Linked DNA regions of Arabidopsis thaliana. The protein of the gene in region 3 interacts with the protein of the main gene of each other region in a pairwise test. Each region holds a gene or a part of one and is shown on either strand. Other genes may lie near its edges.

Evidence for each region.
Region 1: the proteins of AT4G14225 (region 3) and AT2G33350 interact in a two-hybrid assay, tested with the Arabidopsis thaliana proteins (one large-scale study listed by BioGRID).
Region 2: the proteins of AT4G14225 (region 3) and ERF6 interact in a two-hybrid assay, tested with the Arabidopsis thaliana proteins (one large-scale study listed by BioGRID).

What each region holds. Positions count from the first base shown.
Region 1 is NC_003071.7:14,133,532-14,137,814, reverse strand, and holds AT2G33350 (CCT motif family protein), read right to left. Parts: upstream 2,674-4,283; 5' UTR 2,613-2,673; coding exon 2,538-2,612; intron 2,451-2,537; coding exon 1,704-2,450; intron 1,568-1,703; coding exon of another isoform or gene 1,565-1,567; coding exon 1,367-1,564; coding exon of another isoform or gene 1,325-1,366; exon of another isoform or gene 1,291-1,324; coding exon 1,162-1,290; intron 1,087-1,161; coding exon 979-1,086; 3' UTR 654-978; downstream 1-653.
Region 2 is NC_003075.7:9,752,294-9,756,039, forward strand, and holds ERF6 (ethylene responsive element binding factor 6), read right to left. Parts: upstream 1,869-3,746; 5' UTR 1,529-1,868; coding exon 680-1,528; 3' UTR 531-679; downstream 1-530.
Region 3 is NC_003075.7:8,197,028-8,199,863, reverse strand, and holds AT4G14225 (A20/AN1-like zinc finger family protein), read right to left. Parts: upstream 1,088-2,836; coding exon 886-1,087; intron 838-885; coding exon 662-837; downstream 1-661. Other genes in the region: AT4G14226 (uncharacterized protein), read left to right, coding at 272-439; RHF1A (RING-H2 group F1A), read right to left, coding at 1,624-1,641, 1,743-2,040, 2,120-2,227, 2,566-2,836. UniProt on the Arabidopsis thaliana protein: May be involved in environmental stress response.

The DNA.
Region 1 (4,283 bases), on a different chromosome or scaffold from region 3:
ATGGTGACATTTCAATACCATAATTCATCTCTAAAGTCAAAATCACTATATTTTAATATTTGCCGTTGATACGTTTGGTTCGAAGTTATTGACTTAGTCGCCATTTATATTTTAACAGTCCTCGGTTAGAACTTAGAAGTTAAAAAAAATTAGCAAATGGGTTTTCACTTTTCAGAAACGAACAAAAAGAACTATTCAACATAATAAAATATCGAATTATTTCATTACAAAGTTACTACAAACCTTTTTGTTCTTCTTTCAGTTTAGCAACTATATATGGCCATGAAATTATGGTACGATCATCATTTATTGCGCATGCATCAAGTTGTCAATCGTTTAAGCTTTACATTAATCTTAAATGGTAGCCTACAAGGGAGGCCTTAATTATATAATTGATCTGTAACACTCTGTTGGCCCAGTCCAACATTTTGATACTAACAAATTAAAGCCCAATTATTTCATCTTTTTCTTAAAAATAGTTACTACTATCCTTTTTTTTGGATCAAATAGTTATTATCTAATTACTAATTAGATCTTCTAACCAGGTGTTAGACATGACAATTTGACCGGTCTATTCATTTTGTATGCATAGAACATCTGAATGATTTGAGAAGCAAAATAATAACTCATATGACGATTATATATATAGAGTGTTCAGGTGATAAAAAATTCAACTCAACTTATCAAATACAAGACATCACATATCATAGTATCTACAAAATTTCCAAATTGCTAGGTAACATAATTACAACCTTATTCTCACTACTGATTTATTCATCCAAACCTGCCTAAACCCATTATTCATTATTTATTTTCAATACGAGTTAGATTATTTATTTTTTTGACAGAAGTCACAGAACTTGTTGGGGGCATGACAAAACTAAGTATACAAGTCATAACTCTATAGCAATACTATTTGTGTAACTATTATAAGATTCATGTTAAAACATGAGGTATATGTGGTGTTGCACTTGGAACTCAAATCCAAGATTGGATTGGGTAGTTGCACTTGAAGGAATTTGCTCCACTAATGTGTGCAAAAATGTCTGAAGAATCTACCAATTGTTCCTCATCCTTCACTCCCATCTGTAAACCCAATCGGCTTAGTTAGTTTTCACATAAATTCATATAAATCGAGTTAAAATAACCCGGTTTTCTTACATCGTCTTCATCTTCATCATCATGATGGCTTGAAAAAGCTTGTCTATTTGGCTCACCAAATTCATCATTCTTTGCAAATCTTCCTCTAACTCTTGGTCGACTATCTGCCAATGTTTTCCTACACGCATACTACAACCCCCCAAAAAAATCATTGGGACAACATTTAACAACGGTTAAGTCCGGTTTGGTTTAATAAAAACCGAACCTTGATTTTCTTGTTGAAATTCCTTTCGTTCCTCTTCTTCATGTACCTACGAATCTTCTCTTTCCTTTGCTCAGGGGAGAGTTTTCCAACTTTGTTCAACGTTGAGTCTTCTAAACCGTTTATATCGACCGGTCCTAATGCTGGATGAGCTTGAGGTGTCACCAAGTGGCTCTGGTTCTCGGCGCCACCACCAAGTGCCTTCTTCAACAAAATTAAACCGGTTAGCATCACATCAGAATACCAACCCGGTCTTGTGACCGGAAATCTTAGCTCCATACCGGTTCTTAAAGATAACCAAACGTTAACCGGAAAATATTTGTAACAAAAACTCAATTACCTGGAGATCTTCTGGATTAAACATACGTTTGATGGAATCCGGACAAAAAAAACCACCATTATCAGCTTGAAAGTCCATCAGTGGATCATGTGGCTTATTGATTTCTGATCCCACATGAATATTCCCGGGAAGATAACCGAGATTACTTTCAGCAGATAATAAACCGGTACTCATATACGCCGGTAAACCGGACGAACGGAAGAAAGAGCAAGAAGGGTTCAAACCAAGATTGTAACTTGGGACTGAAGAAAGACAATCTTCTTCGAAAACCCCTGATTGTAAGGGAGGAGGAGCTAGAGAGGAAATCGCCGATAGAGACAGAGGATCTCCAGAGTATGAAATGTTAGGAGGCTGATGAATAACTTGGAGACCTGATGAGAAATCAAACTGGTCTTGGCTTATTGCCGTGAGGAGATGATCGATGACTGGATATTGCAGTGAAGATGATGAGAAATCGATTGAAGCCGTTATATCGTTTTCGAAATCTTCTTGTGAATCAAAGATTATGGACAGATCCGTGTTGTTGTTGTCATCTTCATCGTCTTGAAGGTTTGTGTTCTTGTTGTTGTTGTTGTTGTTACTGTTCTCAGTTGTTGTGGTGGTGTTAGTGTTGGAATGGAAGCTTCCGGATTTCTCAAGAATGTTTGAAGTAGAGGTGACTTCAGAGGATTGATTAAAGGTTTCTTGAAAGAGTTGTGGATCGCAGAAATCGAAGATCTGAGCACTAAGAGGGCTCGTGATATCATCCTGTTAAGATAATAAAAACAATAGTTAGTTTCAAAGATTAGATCGAGCATGGAAAGTAAATGAACCAAGATCTTTTGAAGAGATTACGTTAAAGCCAAGCATCAAAAAAAGGTAACAAAGGTTTTGGCTTGAGTCACAAGAAATTAGAACTGGTGAAATCATAAGAAGCTACAAGATATTAGTTCTTAAATCTTAAGAGAAATTTATTTATACTTAAGTAATTTTGTTCTGGCTTAACTATGTTAAGAATCTGTAAGATGTTTTGATTCTGTTTTTCGACATCCAAACACTCCAAAGATTTTGGTGTCTTGATCAAATCCAATGTTTGTTTGTTATCAATATTTGTTGAGGACAACACAAGAGAGATTAAATGCATCTGTTCTTTTATGTGACATGTTAAGAAGAAGTGTTCCAATTACTTCCAATAGCTAAAAAGATAAAGTAAAGAAGAGTGGAGTTTCTATAAACGGAAAGTTTTCTGATTCTGGTATTTCCTTTTCGTATTGACAAAATAATTTAAAATTGCCTGGTATGAACCAACATCCAGATTTTTTTCCCACAAAGAAAAAGTAAAGGGCACTTCATAAAATATCAGAACATGTGTGAAACCCATTATGATCATGATCATATACAAACCCATCATGATAACAAACAATGCTCCTAGTGAAATTCACGTAATATGTAGATTTTGCATAAAATCCAAGGTGAGAGATTAAATCTAGCATTTTTCGTTTGATGAGAATAAAAATCTATACTAAAATACGATAGATATAGTGAATTATGGTTACAGTTATTTTGTAGAACAATATTGTTCCATATCATGTGACGATTTTCTATTGGTTTATAAGTAATAATCGTATGCCAATGAGAATTATGATAATGATTGTTCAAAAAAAAATCGCATGGAAGGACAAATTGAAGTGCGGAGAGAATAACAAAGAAAGAAAAGCGAAAAGAATGAAGCAATTTATAAGAAGATCAAATGGAATATAAGTAGAAGAAAATGACGTTACACCAAAAAAGAAAAACTAGCTGAAATTATAGGGTAGTTGCCGAATAAAAGACTACGGAATAAAAATTAATCAGTTTATAAGATTAGACTCGAGTTTATATGATCTATACATGTAAGCAAAATTTCAAAGACAAAAACATCTACGCATTGCATGAATAAAAATGAAAGCAATAATGAGAAGAGAATTACGATGGAAAGCTGATCGTGAGAGTGAGACGAGATCATGTCTTGCAACATGTTTGTGTTCTTTGTATATCTCCAATGTTAATGCGAAAACTTTCTGGGAAAATAAAGAAAATTCCCGAGAAAATATGAATTATAGCAAGAAAATTAATGAACGAGGCTTCAAGGATGATTTGTGGAATAATATTGGAATGAGTGATGTATGATGAACAAGAAAATCCATGGAAGAAATTCAAATATTGGGAGGAAAAAACAACAAAAACTGAAAAAACAAAGAGGTAATTGAATTAAAAACAGAACAAAGGTTCTTCTGTTTGGACAGAGAAGAAATTCAAATTCTTATAGTTTTCTGGAAAAAAAGAGGTTATGGGAGTTTCACGTAACAATCATACATATATATATATACTTTTGGTTTTATGTGTATGTATATATTTGTATATACTAAACTAATGCATGTGTGTTTCAGTGTATGTACAAATTATTTTCACATAATTTTTATAATATATTCCAGCGTGGACTTGATGCAAAAATGTGATACCCTCGATTCTCCTCTTCACATGACGTGGAAAGCCCACGTAGATATAATGGTGTTGACGTGGGTAAAGGATCTCACGTAGGAGGAAACTATTTAGACCGGT
Region 2 (3,746 bases), 1.6 Mb from region 3:
AAGCTTTTACCATGCAAAAAGAACCATAGCATTTTTGTTTTAAAGAAAGAAAAAAAAAAGAAGGAAAAGAGTCATAGATATTACCATGCAAAAATATGGAAATTGTAATATATATACGTGATTCCCATATTATAAGATTAGAGCTTTTTCCGCCAAACTAATTTATTAATTGTAATTATTGATTACAAATTTATAGATATTTCAAAAATGAAGTCACAAATGAGAAATGAATCAAATGAAACAATCTATAGAAAACAAGATATTATAAAAGTCAATTAGTCAGAGTTTATACATGCAAAAAAAAAAGAGTCATGGAGCTTTCAAATATTAAGTCACAAATAGGATATAATCGAGACTGCTAAAGATGTTACGGTAATAAATCCGAGCATATTACATGCCATTGAAAAATAATACGTTCTATGATAAAAAGTCATTTGATCGGAGCTTCGTGTTATGTGTTCTCTGTTCTTTCCATATTGATTCGCCTTTACATGCGATTTTTGTCTCAGTAGCCGCTAAATAAGGTGATTGGTTAGAATTTAGAAATATCAAGAGTTGTATTAAAAAACAAATAAACGAATGAATAAATTTTGCTCGAATGTGAACATAAAATAAGCAAAAGATATAGCATAATTCCACGTCAGCATACAACAAGCTGACCCAAACAGAAAAATAGAATTCAAACAACGGTCAATTGTGGATAACCAAACGGTGGGTGTGGAGATAACGGCGATAAAAGCGGCATGCTCAGAAACTCCGTCAAATCCCAGTCATCTATCGCCGTCAAACCTGACTCAACATTCTCGCCGCCGCTAACGTCGTAACTCTCCTCCGTCTTTAGCACTTTCTCAACCACCGTCACTTCCTCCTCCTCGCCGTCTCTCTTCCGTTTGTTGTACAGGCCACGACCATCTTCAGCGCGTGGATTCCACTTGTCAACTTCAAGCGGGAAATTCAGAATCGCCTTTGATCCTCGTAGTCTAAACGCTTCTTTGTCGTAAGCTCTAGCCGCTTCGATCGCCGTCTCAAACGTCCCGAGCCAAACACGAGTTCCACGACGAGTCGGGTCTCGAATCTCCGCCGCGAATTTCCCCCACGGCCTCATCCTCACTCCTCTGTAATGCCTCTTCTCCTCTGCTGCTACAACCGGTACGGGAAGTTCCGGTTTAGGATTTCCGGTTGCGAATTGAATCCACTTGGTTCGGTTCGGTGGTGCGATCTTCAACGGCGGTTTTCGATTGGATTGAACAGTAACGCGAGGAGGATTCGATTGGAACGTGAAGGAATCGTTCGATTCAGATGGAATTTCAGATTTCACATCGAAATCAAAAATCTCCGGTTTGGGAGTGACGAGATCGATTATTTCCGGTTTGGTTTCAAATTCAGAAAACTCGAAACCGGTTTGATCAAATGACGTGAAATCGTTCATCCATCGATTGGTGGTGGCAGTAGTAGGCAACGGAGACAATTCGTCGAGGAGATACTTCTTGATGAGGAAAAGAGCTGATACTTCGTTTGGTGTAGCCATTTTGGAGGAAACAGAGAATTGAAGAGGAAGAGGGATTTGATTTGACAGTGGAGAAGAGAGAGTGGAAAGGTGTATTTATAGGAAAGAGTCAAGTCAATGAGAGACTCTTTCAAGGCAACATCCTCAGGATTTTTTAAACTTAAAATCTAAAATTATCAAATGCGGGATGGTGTATGTACACGCGTGTTTCACCGGTTTTACACCGTTTGATTAGATTATAAACCCCTCGTCAACGGTTTGATCGTGTGGTTCATCAATGGCAGCTGGGGTAAAAAAACAAAACACAAATATTTTAATTAGGCTGCGCTCTAATATTGGGTTTCTTTGGCAGATGATTAGACAAGAATTTATCGATTCATGTTTATCAAAATATTAGTACGGTTTAGTAATAGTTATTATAAAGTACCTTTCGTGTTAATATTTGATTAATTTACTACTCGTTGTGAGAATTCTTCGCATGCATGCATTTGCAATATCAAAATTTAGCGGCCGTATCAACTCAATGTTTGGATAAACACACGTTTTTATATAAAAACTTATGATAGTTGCAAAATTTGATGGAAGAAAAACACTGGTTTTACTTCACGTACGTCGGATGTTATTTTTGTTTTTGGATTAAAAATATTTTAGTTATGAAGACTAGATTCTCTTTGTCGAATGTCGACGATGTTTTCGTATGGTCGCCAACATTTTGTGGACAAAGACCCATGGAATTCTCGTATAGCTGCCCAAAAACATTTAAAAAAAAAAAGTCCAATAATTTCAAGTTCAACCAGTAATTTGTTCATCCAATCTCTACATAATCTTTCGGGATAAAATATCCATTATTTTTGTTTTATACATCTCAGACCAGAAAGCTGTTTTTATTTCAATGATCAACACTATATATATGTTCATTTCTAGCTGTTATATAATCACTGAAAACTAAAGTGTTGTTAAAATGTTGCCGAACATAGTAAAACATTACACCGATAAATATACATTTTTATTGTGTCTACGGGTACAAGCTACAAAATTATAAGCTTATCGCTTCATTTGTAAGTGAATAGATATTACCTTACGTATAAAACATAAACTAAAACGCAAACACACAAAAATGCATGCATAATTAGACTATCAGAGGAATCGTAATATTAAAGTTATAGTCTCGAAAGATAAGGGCTGCGTAATTAGCGGAATCGTAATACTAATTAAGTTCTAGTCTCAATTATTCTACAATAATTATAACCAAAAATATATATTTTACAACAACAAACCATGTGACCACTTTTGGCTTTGGTTGCTGCTTTCGAACGTGATATATCCATTTTACGTCTTCGTACGAATGTGCTTACTTCATCATAGATATTGATTCATACTTGAAACTAATTTACAAAGCCTAACACACACATATGCAATTTTCTATCAGTATGACAATTTATACTATATATATGAAACATATTGCTCAAGGCTTATCCTAGATGTAGGTTTAAATGAATCTTCTAATATATTTTTCAAATCAACGTTTTCACTTATTTAAAACATTTGTAAATAATTTACATGTCTAGTTCAGCTCTGTGTGTCTGTCCAGTACTTATGTTCTTATTACAAATATCTTTGTTTCAAGGGAAATATCAATGGGTATTGCCCAGACGAATCCATAATTAACTTCTCAATAATTACAGAGTATTCATGTTTACTAATTCGTTCCTACAAAAAAAAATGTTTGCTATATTCGTTCATGTTAGCTATAGTTTTTCAAGTTTTTCTGGAAATCTAGGATGTCAAAAACTGAAAGAAAAAAATCTAGTACTTAAAAAATCAATTATTGATTGATTTCTTCTTATCATTAGTCTTTAATTTTTATATATATATATATAAACATGCATTATACATATTTAAACTGGGATAATGGTACCGTTACACCAGAGTTGTGTGTTAGAAAACAGCCAAATGCCAGAATCCACAACAAATGAAAACTTAGAGCCTAGAGGTCCACATGTTTCCAAAACTAGGCTTATGTTACGTATTTGAGTTTAAACTAATTTCTAGACTCTTTGTTTAACTGAGTCTAGAGAGGATGTCAGTTAGATTCTTTTTATTTAAAAAAAAGTCAGTGAAGAAGTTCGATTATGTAAATATCGTAAATGTTTTTTTTTTACAACAAGAGACATAAATTGTAAACTACCCTTAAGCCTCTAAAACGTAGTTAACGAAATTAGACGAGATTAGTATTAAC
Region 3 (2,836 bases):
CACCTCTTCTTTCCTACTTTACTCTCCATACTCTCCAAATCAACGTGAGACACAATCGTGTGGTTTTTTCTTTGAGTCTGTCATTTGCATTTAGAACAAATGATGATTACAATTTTTTGTTATAAAAAGAGATAAACGTTTGCAAAAATATTTCATCTAAAAAAAAGGTGCCTAGGTCTACTTAATCATAATTCTACTTCTACATTAACGTCATTGCTTTATCTAAATTTCAGCACTGAATCCATGCACTAGGATCGGGTCAACAAGGTCCATGAACTTCATTATGTGTAAGAATCCAGAAGCTGAGAACCCTGAAGTTTCTCTGGACACAACCCGGAAGATTAGTGGAAAGTGGAGGGCGTGGATGAACAACTCTTTGGCCTTAATGCTTCCATTACTCAAACAAATTTCCCATGGACAATCAGCAACAATCGACTAAATCTTGTTTGTTTTATAGATATGTTCGCTCAACGTCAAGTTTTAACGAATATTTCGAACGAGTAATCACTAGAAAAATAAATATTCTAGTTTCAAACTAACAATTTGTCGTTCTCACTAATCGAACACAATGTAATTAAGTTATAAGAACTAAATTATTTTATTTAATACCAATGGCAGAGAAAAAAAAGTTAAGAAAAAAACACAAGCATCGAAGGGTTGACTAAAGTCTGAAGAGCTTATCACCCTTGACGACAGGGTTTTGTTTTGCTAAGACGTCAATGGCGGCAGATTTATAATCCGATGGACATGAATGCTCTTCCGGGTAACGGTGAGACGCGAAGAATAAGTGGCCACATCTACAGTGAAACCCTAGCAACCCCACCTTCTTCTTGCACGCTTTGCATCTACTACTACTCTTCTTATAATCTTATCCTTCTTCTTCACCACAACCGCCTTTACTACCGAGTACCGTCGCCTCTTGCGCCGTGACCTCTTCAGCGGCTTTCGTGTTGACGTTGAAAGTGGCCAAGTATCTGGCAGACTCGTCCTTTAAGAAATCGTTGTAGCACTTAGAACAGAGGTTCTTCGTCTGTGACGTGCTGAAGAAGCCACACCCCCTAATGCATAAAGAAGGTTCTCCCGTCATTGTCTTCTTGTTTTGGTACAATCGTGTTATGTTTGCAACGTTTTGTGTACTTTGGCTTGGCCTTCTTATTTGTTTTTGCTCTTCACCATCTAATCTTATGTCTCAAAACTTTGTATGACTTGAGTTTTTATAGAGCTGTTGAAAGCCTTCCTCTGCCAGTATTCAGGTATTTTATGTCATATATAAATTAGGTTTTTATCTTCAAAATTCCTATTTTATTTATGGACTTGTCTATAAATAGATTCATAGTGCAATATTGATTAGGACTGATCCAATTCTTAGTGAAAAAACATAAAACATTATCCTTTGAAATTAATAAATATTATAGTTTTGGCTCCGTCAAAATCGAGTAATAAAATTATTACTCAGTTGCTTATTTTAGCCATCTAAAAGTACGCATCGCAAAGGTAACAGAGAGACGAGAGACGAGACCGTGAGCTCTGAACAATGCAGGATGCGAAGACCAACGGGTAAGTTGATTCAATGGAAACGTACATCGCTTGCATTAAAGGCCTCTCTCCATTTTTCTGATTGCCTCAGCACGTTTCTCCTCCCTGAGATGAATTCAACGATTCTCATTAGCAAAACCCATAAAAAGCTTTATGTTTTAAAGATACAAATGTTAGAAGACAAGAAACCGGGAGAAGTCTGAAACCTGCAGCTTTTGGGGTTCGGTTTTGTCTCCATTGTTGTTAGACTTAGAATTGGCTTCTACACGTTTCCCTTTGAATGAGAAATTGAATCCAGAAGCAGTAGCAGTGGAGGTTGATACATGAGCAGACCCTCCAAAACGTTTTGAAGAAAAATCCATGCGTTCGATCATTCGTGCAACACCAGCTATTCCTGCATTCATCTCACGTTGCACTCCTTTGCTCAATTCTTTCACTGAGTTATTGCGAGCAAGTAGCTTCTCTTTAAGACCTTGTTTACTTTTAGAGATCGATTCCTTGTACCTGGAGGCATGCATGTATGTCCCAGTCAGTTTTTATAACCAATTTCTGAACAAATGAAGAGGAATTGAGATAGCCATACTTTGCAGAAGCAGCAGCTAGTTTCGATTTAATGGCTTCCGGAAGCGAGGATGCTTCAGGTGATTTTGGACTTTGAGATGAACGAGATGGAGAAGGGCCAGGAGAGATTCTGATGACAGATACAAGAAAAGATGAAGATATATTACATATGGTTTAGGTAAGTTCTAAACAATTTAAAGGCTTGACCAATTCTCCAAGAAGTAGCTGCATAATAAAGAGACATGGTCTAGAATTCCAGAGCCATCTAAATTATTTATCAGTAGACGATAATCCCAGTAACTAAGCGAAACAGGAAGTATAAGAGCATCTGCATTGTGCAGCTCAAGCAAATGGAAACCATACAAATCATGAAAGCTGGTTATAGAGACAGCACAAGCAAATGGAAAGCGAATAAATCATGAAAGCTCGTTATCAATAAACCAGACTTGATTATGTGTATGTCAATACCTGGATCCGTTATTGCTATCTGCAGGAATGGAAGAATGACCAGAGACGGGAGATGGAGTCATTGAGCCAGGACTTGGACAAGGGTTTGAGTTTTGATGTTCAACATGGGAAATAGCAGAGAGACGATAAAGATTGACCAAATCAGTAGGATGAATCGTAGTGGGATCGCTGGACGAAACAAGACTAGAGGATATTTGACCATCCCTTCTGCGAAGCAAACAACGTCTATGTGCAGCTTCAGTAAGATGCCTCAAGAATTGTTCATCAAAGC